Cricetulus griseus: one gene and its partner. The protein of the gene in region 2 binds, or shares a complex with, the protein of the main gene of each other region. Links are inferred from orthologs where the notes say so. Each region holds a gene or a part of one and is shown on either strand. Other genes may lie near its edges. The genes, in order: Bag6 and Ubl4a.

The links.
Region 1: the proteins of Ubl4a (region 2) and Bag6 are in contact, whole or in part, in a crystal structure (PDB 4X86), measured with the Homo sapiens proteins. The link is inferred for Cricetulus griseus from reciprocal best matches to the Homo sapiens genes UBL4A and BAG6. Residues at the interface, in NP_055050.1 of Homo sapiens: Val95, Leu98, Ile99, Val102, Leu103, Arg105, His106, Phe107, Ser108, Asp111, Arg114, Val115, Gln118, Leu119, Asp122, Tyr123, Glu124, Ser126, Leu127, Ser128, Leu130, Ile135, Leu138, Arg141, Phe142; in NP_001092004.1 of Homo sapiens: Gly1052, Pro1053, Leu1055, Leu1057, Ala1060, Val1061, Ala1064, Ala1065, Ala1067, Ala1068, Ala1070, Arg1071, Pro1072, Leu1073, Thr1074, Ser1078, Leu1079, Asp1082, Leu1083, Glu1087, Val1088, Ser1091, Tyr1092, Gln1095, Leu1096, Asp1099, Ile1100, Arg1103, Leu1104.

What each region holds. Positions count from the first base shown.
Region 1 is NW_023276806.1:231,668,425-231,672,918, reverse strand, and holds the end of Bag6 (large proline-rich protein BAG6), read right to left. Parts: intron 3,906-4,494; coding exon 3,614-3,905; intron 3,428-3,613; coding exon 3,258-3,427; intron 3,099-3,257; coding exon 3,045-3,098; intron 2,921-3,044; coding exon 2,818-2,920; intron 2,736-2,817; coding exon 2,611-2,735; intron 2,478-2,610; coding exon 2,331-2,477; intron 2,225-2,330; coding exon 2,165-2,224; intron 2,053-2,164; coding exon 1,909-2,052; intron 1,833-1,908; coding exon 1,725-1,832; intron 1,121-1,724; coding exon 974-1,120; intron 711-973; coding exon 615-710; 3' UTR 532-614; downstream 1-531. UniProt on the Homo sapiens protein: ATP-independent molecular chaperone preventing the aggregation of misfolded and hydrophobic patches-containing proteins.
Region 2 is NC_048604.1:1,347,405-1,351,972, reverse strand, and holds Ubl4a (ubiquitin-like protein 4A), read right to left. Parts: upstream 3,089-4,568; 5' UTR 2,975-3,088; coding exon 2,927-2,974; intron 2,767-2,926; coding exon 2,661-2,766; intron 2,411-2,660; coding exon 2,202-2,410; intron 2,086-2,201; coding exon 2,011-2,085; coding exon of another isoform or gene 1,975-2,010; exon of another isoform or gene 1,339-1,974; coding exon 1,222-1,338; 3' UTR 173-1,221; downstream 1-172. Other genes in the region: Slc10a3 (P3 protein), read right to left, coding at 3,935-4,568. UniProt on the Homo sapiens protein: As part of a cytosolic protein quality control complex, the BAG6/BAT3 complex, maintains misfolded and hydrophobic patches-containing proteins in a soluble state and participates in their proper delivery to the endoplasmic reticulum or alternatively can promote their sorting to the proteasome where they undergo degradation.

The DNA of each region.
Region 1 (4,494 bases), on a different chromosome or scaffold from region 2:
AATGCCTCAGTCCCGGTTACCAACTCTGCATTAGGGTTCTATTACTGTGAAGAAACCATCACCGTGTTAAATCATTTAATTGGGGTGGGCTTCCAGGTTCAGAGCTTTAGTCCACTATCCAGGTGGGACACAGGCAGATGAAGTCCTGGAAAAGCTGCCACTGGGCCTCCTTTGACCATCGGAAACCTGAAAGCCCACCCTTAGTGATACACTTCCTGCAACTAAACCACACCTCCTCATAGTACCACTCCCTGTGGGGAGCCATTTTCAGTTTAAACCACCTCAGTACCACATAGCTGCCTGCTGTTTCCGGTCTTCAGCACAGGGATGTCATTAGGCCTTCACATTCCAGAGACCAAAGCAAAAGTTGCAAAACTTACTAGCTGGCCTGAGCTTAAAGTACTATCCTACAAAAGTTCAACCACTCATAGGCCTGCATAAGCTCCATAAGCAGAGTGTGCTATACACGTGTACTAGGTTCGGAGGGATTGGATGAAATGTTGGGAGAAAATGAAGGTACTCAACACTAACTACCAGACAAAGAAGCCAGGAAAATCCGACTTTTATTTCTTAAATACTGTGAAGGAAGGGGGAATGGTCCCCCCGTGAGAAAGCTAGGGGTCATCAGCAAATGCCCGGTGGGCATTGGGGAAGCGCTGGGGGCTGTAGTTGGGGTCTTCCTGCAGTCGCTTTTGGATATCAGACCGGAGCTACAAAGAGAAAACACAAGCAGGTTGGAGGAGCCCTGGTTTAGCCCTATGATCCCAGCAAGTGCAAAGACCAACCCTCAGGAAATACTTCCCCACCAACCAAGCTGGCTAGGCCAATGAGATTGCTGAGCCTTCCCAAATGCCACAAGGAAAACCCTGACCACCAACCGGGGGCTTCATCTCTGGATAGATTCAGGGAAGCAGGAACCTGGCCCAACCCCTCCCAATAGACCATTCCCTATTCTGCTGCAAAGTGGGGGCACCTGCTGCCTGTAGCTCTCCTGAACCTCTGGTGCCTCCAGGTCCCGGCTCAGGCTCTCGGGGCTTGTCAGGGGCCGAGCTCCGGCTGCCTTAGCTGCCCGGCTCACTGCCTCTGAGAGTAGCAGCTGGGGGCCCTCACCCTGCATTGTCTGGGGACAGGTGGAGAGGGAAAAGGGGATCAATATCAGACCCCCTGCCACCAACCCAGTTCCCCCTTTCCCTTGGCTAACCAGTGTCCAGTCCAGTCCAGTTCCCCTTTCCCCTGGCTAACCAGCGTCCAGTCCAGTCCCCCCTTTCCCTTGGCTAACCAGTGTCCAGTCCAGTCCAGTTCCCCTTTCCCCTGGCTAACCAGCGTCCAGTCCAGTTCCCCCTTTCCCTCAGCTAACCAGTGTCCAGTCTAGCACAGGGCGGGGAAACAGTCTGCATGTGCTTTTCACAGCAGAAATGCCTTCCTAACTATGGCTAAAAAAAAAATGTTTGATTACAAAGATGGCACCAGCAGGTCAGACCACCTGAGACTCAGAGCTAGCTACTCGTCAAGACCCTAATCACTTGGGAAATCACACAGCTGCGAGTACCAGAACTGCCAGAAACAGTAAGATGAAGGCCCATGTTGTCATGTGCACAAATCATGAACAAGCCTGACCCCCAAACAGGCTTCCTAACTAGATGAAGAAACTGAACTAGCAAGCAAAAGCCTCTAGCTCAACAAGGGTTCTGGACAGAGACACCTTAGGAAAGAGACAGACCAACCTTGCGTCTCTTGGCAGGCATACCGCTGAGGTAGGCGTCGCTCAGGGGCGGCTGAGGTTTCACCTTTCGCTGGCTCTGAATGTCCTGCTGGATAATAGGGACCCATTCCTGGGGAGGAAAGGGTTAGAAATAATTCTCACAACTCACAGCTCTTAAACCCACTGGATCACCTCCTGCCACTTACTGGGGGGACCGCAGCTGCCCAAGGTTCTGCATCGGCTGAAGCTCCATCCTGTTCATCTCGGGAACCACCTTCGGGAGCAGGGGGTGGACCTCGGGACATGGCTTCTTCTGCTGTTGTTCCAGGGGCTGGGGAAGCATTCTCCCGCTGGAAGGCAGATGGCAGGAAGGTCCAGACTTCAGAATTCTTTGCCCCCAAGTGCCTTTTCTTACAGCCCAGCCATCTACACATTATCTGGCCTCTCCACCTCTCCTGATACCTGAGGTTCAGGGGAAGTTCTTTCTGCTCCTTGAACTTCCATTGGCTCTTCAGGAAGTGTCTGTGGAATTTCACAAAGAAATAAAAGGAGGGGGGGGGGTATCAGTACAGTCCATCTCTCAAGTGTCCTTATGTCCCCTGACCCCACAGCCTACTAGGTCCCTTACCTGGGGGGGATCACCAACCCTGCGAACGTATCTGAGGATGGCATCAGGGCCCACAGGCATGTGTTCCAAGACCACCTGAAGCCTCAGTCCCATCATAGTCGTCAGCCAGCTCACCAAGGATGGGTTCACTCCACGAGACATGCGACGCTGAGGGTTAGAAAGCAGACTTACAACTTGTGCAATCTACATCTCGGGCAATAGGTGCAGTACTTGGAGAAATAGAAAACTGCAAGACATAATAACAAAGGAGCTAGAGACTTAAGAGTCGGGCGGTGCTTACAATTCGGCCGTTGATGACAGCAGCAAGCTCCATCTGCTGTCCCCCCAAGCAGTGTAGGTTCAGGGCCAAGCACTCAAACAGGCCCTGGTTACACAGCTCCAGCAAGCGGGCTCCAAATCCACTGTCTGGAAGGAGGATGCGAGAGGGCCCATGACTCTGCCAGTCCTACAGAGCAGTGCTTCCCTCTCCCTGGCAGCCCTGCCTGACCTGTGCAGTGTAGCACATGCGCAGCAATGCTGTTAAACTGCTCTTGGAGGAATTCTAAATTTGTCCGGATGATGTCCACACCCGGCTGAACCTGCACCAAAGACTGAGACAAGACACACAAAGATCTCCAAATCAGAACCATGAGGGTCTAGGAGGAGGAGGTGACAGGGACCCCTAGCTTCCCCGCCCAAACCTAGACAGGAAGAAAACACATAAAGCATACTCACAAAACTCTCCCGTACATATTCTTCCAGCCCAGTGATCAATGTATGGGTTGCCATCTGTAGGGGAACATCACAGTTCAGGTTTAGTCCCACCTGTCCCATGCAAGCCCAAGGCCTGGGCCGAAGTAGAACTGTCACTGACTGATAGAAAGCAGCCGGGATTAAGGGATGGAGGCCAGAAGGAAGGAAAGCTCTGGGCTCTGGGCTCTCATTTACCCGGATGTTGCCAGGTGTGGGCTCCTGACCACCCAGGTAGTGCTGGTGGAAGAAAGATCGCAGCTGTGGCTGGAGCCGCTGCAGTGGCTGGAAGTGCCCGTGGAGAAGCATCACCACATCCACCATGGAGAAATTCTGGCACAGAAGAGAGAGCAGAGCTCCAAAGAATCCTAGGGAGAGGGGCAGAAGTGAGCAGTTGTGTCCCCTGCTTGCCGAGCCCCACAAGCTGTCAGCCTAATCCTTCTTAGTAAAGAAAGGCCAACCACACACACACACACACACACACACACACACACACACACACACACACACACACCCGCTAGTTCCCAAGACCATAGCACCCCCTTTTTGCTTACCAAGAGCCCCATCAGCCCCAGGCTCAAAGATGTTGCTGGATCCACTGAGGCGTTGGATGAAGGCAGCAATGCTCTCACTGCTGCCAGCCCGCGCCCCCAGGGAGCCCAGCAGAGAGCTCAGCACTCCCTGTACCACCGAGGTGAAGAACTCCGGTGGCAGGCTCTCCGGACCTAAGCCTCCAGGACTCCCTGTTCCACCAGAAGGGGACCCTGGTGGGGGTGTGGCCTGCTGCTCTGGGGCAGGGGGTGGGGGTGGAGGAGGTGGAGGGGGTGGAGGGGCAGTCTGTGATGCCTAGCAGAGAAGGAAGAGCAGAAGACAAAGATCACAGGGTCAAGAACATAAACTGCATCAAGAAGGCACAAAACAACAGGCCCAGGAGAAGAGGAAAGAGCTAGATTCTGGTTTTTGTTTTTGAGGCAAGGTTTCCCTATGGCTTTGGAGGCTGTCCTGGAACTAGCTCTTGTAGACCAGGCTCGTCTCGAACTCAGAAATCCACCTGCCTCTGCCTCCCACATGCTGGAATTAAAGGCATGCGCCACTACCGCCCAGCAAGAGCTAGATTCTGATCTTGACTTAAAACAACCACCACCTATTTTTAATAACTATATTTAATGTGTATAGGCATTCTTCCTGCCTATATGTCTGTGAAACATGTGTGCCTGGTTTCCATGGGGACCAGAAGAGGGAAACAGATCCCTTAAACTGGAGTTACAGATGGTTGTGAACCATCATGTGGGTTCTGGAAATCCAACCCAGGTCCCTCTGCAAGAGCAGCAAACTGGCTCTGATCTTAACTTCTTAAGCCAGAACACTCAGGGACAGACACTCAACAGAGGGCATGAAACCAGAAACCAAGTAACTACCTCCCTGCCTCTGAATG
Region 2 (4,568 bases):
GTTTCCTGTAGTGGAGAGTTGCCATATGCATCCACCAGGACATGCATTTACTTTTCCTTCTTGGTACAGCTCCTATGTGCCCAGGAAAGCAGATCAAGACTACCTGAGTAGGTGTTAACTGATAACCAACAAATCCTTTTTCCATATGCCAAGCCCCAGTGATTACACAGGATTCAGTTCTGACCAATAAGAGAGCATTTATTTGCTGGGGCATCTGAGACAGAAGCTATGTTACAGAGAGAAAGTGCTCCTTGCTGGCAGCAAATGGTTTGATGAAGCTGCAGGCAGCCACCCTTTGATCCTTGGAAGTAGTGGTGAGGATGAAGCAGATGCTGGAGAATTCAGAGGGAGGCAGGAAAAAAGCTGGATGTTTGGTGAAATTGTTCATCAACTGCCAGTACTCCTGGGCTTTTTCACTTTTGTAAGCCAGTAAGTTTCCTGTGTTGTTAAACCAATTATTTGAAACCAAAAGCAGACTAGTTTATTAATAGAGTTCGTCTTGGTAAAAAGTCTCACATGCACCTTAAGTGTTATTTAATTTTCCAAATACATTCCCTGACTCAAAGTGAACAAGGACATTGGTAAGCTTATTATCTGAGCTGCCAGTCCACATATGTGCTCACAAGCAGGTCCCTGATGTGGTACCCCAGGTCTCAGGGAGGAGCAGGGTCTACCAGCTGCTCATCCCCTCAGGCCTCACTTTAGTTTATCATTCCATTATGGGGAGTCAAGATTTGTCCCACAAGGCCCAAAGCCCATGCAGGAGGCCGTTGGGCAAGAAAGGCCAGTGTAGTCCCAACAACATTCAGAGTTGCTTCCTTGGCAAGAGTGGAGGGGCAGGAGTAATGTCCTGCAGGTGGCTATCTTCCAGCCTCAACTGCTCCCAGGGGGTCCTCCTCAAAGGAGCTAGTACTTACATGACCTTTAGCACCCAGGCATAGGTTCAGTGAAAAGAAGAACCACTGTCTTCAGCTTACATTTCTATCTCCTCCTCAGCACCCTGAGTTTCTTCTTAAGCAATGAAGGTGTGCAAACTGAAAGTCCCTGTACACAGGTGGCAGAGGAAGCATCCGTCTCATGCTGTGGGAGAACGCTGGGTGAGGAGACCCAGGAAGAATCCTAGTTGTGACACTGCTTTGTGGAGTCACCTGCTGTCCCTCATGGATGAGACCGACTTCCAGGAGGAGCCAAGCAGATAGGGTCCCCCCAAGAAGAGCTATGTCACAAAGGCCCAGGATATTCCATCTGTGGCCCATGCTTGGCTACCACTTCACTTTTGGCTTCAGTTTGCTTACTGAACACAAGATGGCACTGCAGTTGGTGATAGCAGACTCCCACCTTGAGCCGGGAAAGAGGGAAGGAAACTTATTCAGGTCAGAGGAGTGGTCACCACTAACAGACTCAATGGTAGGGGACCTAAGTGGCACAGAAACTTGACTTAAGCCATACAACGGAGCTAGGGTATCTTTCTGATCCTCCAGCCCCTGACTTTGTCATTCATCAAGAGCACACTGGCTGCAGCAGCAGAGGGACTCTGGATGGCTACCACTTGGCTTCCTATGGAGATTTGCCAAGGGTATGCCAGACATACTAGAGGACAGGTGACAGGGACTAGTGGCTTCCTGAGGGAGTCACTTGAGTGTGTATGTTGAGTGGGCTAAATGGGAATGTTAAGGCCCATCCCTCAAAACAACACACTCTTTCTCCTACAGAGGCACTTCTACAGCTGGCTAGACTTGGATTCTGGCTGTCCCAAGCCATTGCTAGGTGTTTCTACAGTGCAGCCTCAACTGTCCTGTGGAAGGCAGAAGAGAATTCAGGCCAAGTACTTTGAGTAGTGCTTAGCACCTAGCAAGAACTGGGTACATACCAGCTATTATTATCACTATGAGCCAAACTGCGACATGAGAACACATTTAATGCAACATGCAGCTGTGGCCTGACCTGGGATTTCTCCCCCCACTCCCAGAAATGCTATTTGGAGAACCCTTTTTCCATAGACTCAGTTACTTCAGGGTGTAGAAAGCGGCTGGCCAAACGTTCAATGTCATCCAGTGTTAGGCGGCTCAGAGATCTGTCATAATCCTGAGAAGAGAAGACCAGGTGGGTTCAGGGGGTGCAAGCAGGAAGGGGTATGCTGTAATAGGTGGGGGCTGGGGCTAGAAACATTAAGATTGGAGGTCCAGAATTATTCTGCTCACCCTCTGTAGTTGTTCCAGGACCCTGCTGGTATCTGCTACACTGAAGTGACGGGCCAGGACTTTGGAGATCAGCTGCCAGAGGGGTGGGGGTGGGGAGTCGACCAGTCTGTGGGCAGACCCTTCTTCCAGCAGCACCTTCTCCAAAGGTTTAACGACTAGGTTGAGTTTAGAATTGGGCCCAATGTTGTAATCTGACAGTCGTTTCTCATCTGCCAAAGAGAGATTGGTGGGGTTCCTTCCTCATTGTTGTGGGGGTGGCCAGAGAGCAATCCTGCCATGGACAGCTAGAGTGAAACACTGCAGCATCTGGCTATGGGGTGGTGGCGTCTCAGCTACTTTTCCAAGGTTTAGTGGCAGCCACTGCTCTAATCCATTACACTGGCCTGTACATCCCGTCCCCCAACTTCCAACTTCCTACTTCCTGTGGGGGGTCCCTGGATGGCTCCTTTCCCTGGTTACCTGTTAGGGCCTTGCCCTTGAACAGCAGACGTTGCTGGCGCACAGGGACGTTCAGCTTATCCGAGACCAGATGCTTCAGTGTAGACACTAGCTCGTCCTCCGGCACCTGATCCGGCCGAGGTGGAGAGGCAAGGGCTTAGTCCGAATTCCCTGGGCGATGCAGCCCTAGTGCCCCCTCCTGAGGTTAGCTCTCCTGGCCTCCCCCGCCCGCCATTGGCCCCAGCGGCAGGAGTGTGTGAGTGTAGCAGCCTGCAGGGTAACCTTACCTGTAGGCTGCACTCCCGGCCCTGGAGCGCCTTCACGGTCAGCTGCATGATGCCCACAGCCGCGTCCACTAGGACCAATGTAAACCCCAATGGTCCCCTGCCGCGCGCCGCTGCCCCGGGCGCGCGCCGGAACCGCCCGCCGCCGCCGGAAGCCGTGAAAGGGGCGAGCCCGCCGCGTGGCTCCCGCCCGGTCCCGCCTCCAGGCCTTTGCGCCTGCCTGAGCCTGGGGTAGCGTCCACCGCCCTGGGCCCACAAGCCTCCAGCGGCTTTGGTGCAGGGAAGTGGGGCCATTCCGCCCACTGGGATAGGAGCGAGGAATCTGTAGGGTCAGGCTTGCTTCACCGGGGAGCTGTGGCTTGAAAGGAAGGACCAGAATGTCAGCCTCATGCAAGGCCTGACCTGTTAATTCCTACCCTGCTGGTGGACCACATCAGGGCAAACATGTAGTAGTGTCTCTCAGATACAGAAATGGTCCAGTCCTACCTGCCATAGCCCAATGGCTTTCTACTTCTTCCTTTCTAGTCTGGTTGCAAAAATATCCTGGCCGAGGCTCCAAAGTAGTGGACCTAGGCCTCTATCTCTTCACTCATTATAGAACAGAGTCCTGCCCTGTTCTGATAGAGAAAAGCCTTTGCAGATCTGGAGATATAGCTCAAAGGTACAACACTTGTCTACCATGTGCAAAGCACAGAGGAAGGAGAGAGTGGGCTCTGTGCACGGTCACCAAGCCTGTTCACCATCCTGGTCCATATCAACCCAGACACACTCTTCCTATCCCCATCCATACACTCCAAGGGACAAAGACTGGAAGGGACCCAAGCTTGCTTTTGTCTTTTATTGAAATATATTTCTAACTCAGCATGGCCTCTTTGGCACTGAAAGCTGGAAAAAAAAAGCCTGGATTTGTCTGAGTGCATAGTGCATGAGAACAAAAGGCCTTTGGTACAGAACTGTGGGGACAGTGGATGGAGTATGGGGGCTGGGGTTATAAAACTTGATCCAGGGTCCTCATGGAACAGGAAACAAGTTGCTGTAGATGAACTGGCCAATAACCAAAGCCAGCATCTCGGAGGTACCACTCAGTGCCACAATGAAGGGGGCCTGAGAGGCATAGTCTGCTTGAAGGCGACGCAGAGACAGCTGCAGCATAGCTAAAGCTAGCAAGCTGTTTTGTACCCCTACCTCAATGCTGACTGTCCGCCGCTGGGCCACTGGCAGCTTCAGGCACATGGCTAGGCTGTAGCCCACCAAAAGGCCAACCAGGGGCACTGTGAAGCCCACCAGTACGATGGGTAACCTGACTCCCACTAAGATGAAGACCCCCATGTGGTAGGCCAGGAATAGGCCACCCAGGAGAAGTACAAAACTGAAGGGCTTGATGACCTGTAGCAGCAGCTCTGAGAACTTAGGGAGCTTAGACTTGATTACCACACCTGCTGCTATGGGGATGGCGATGAACAGCAGAGTCCCCAGTATCTTGGAGATGGGCACGTGGAGTGTTTCATGGATGCTGAGAAGGCGGCTGTAGATGGCTGATGAAAGTGGCAAGAAACCTGTGGCAGCTACTGTTGAGATGAAAGTCATGGAGATGGCCAGGGTGACATCTCCTCCAAGGAGGAGACTGAAGAGGTAGCTCCCCCCA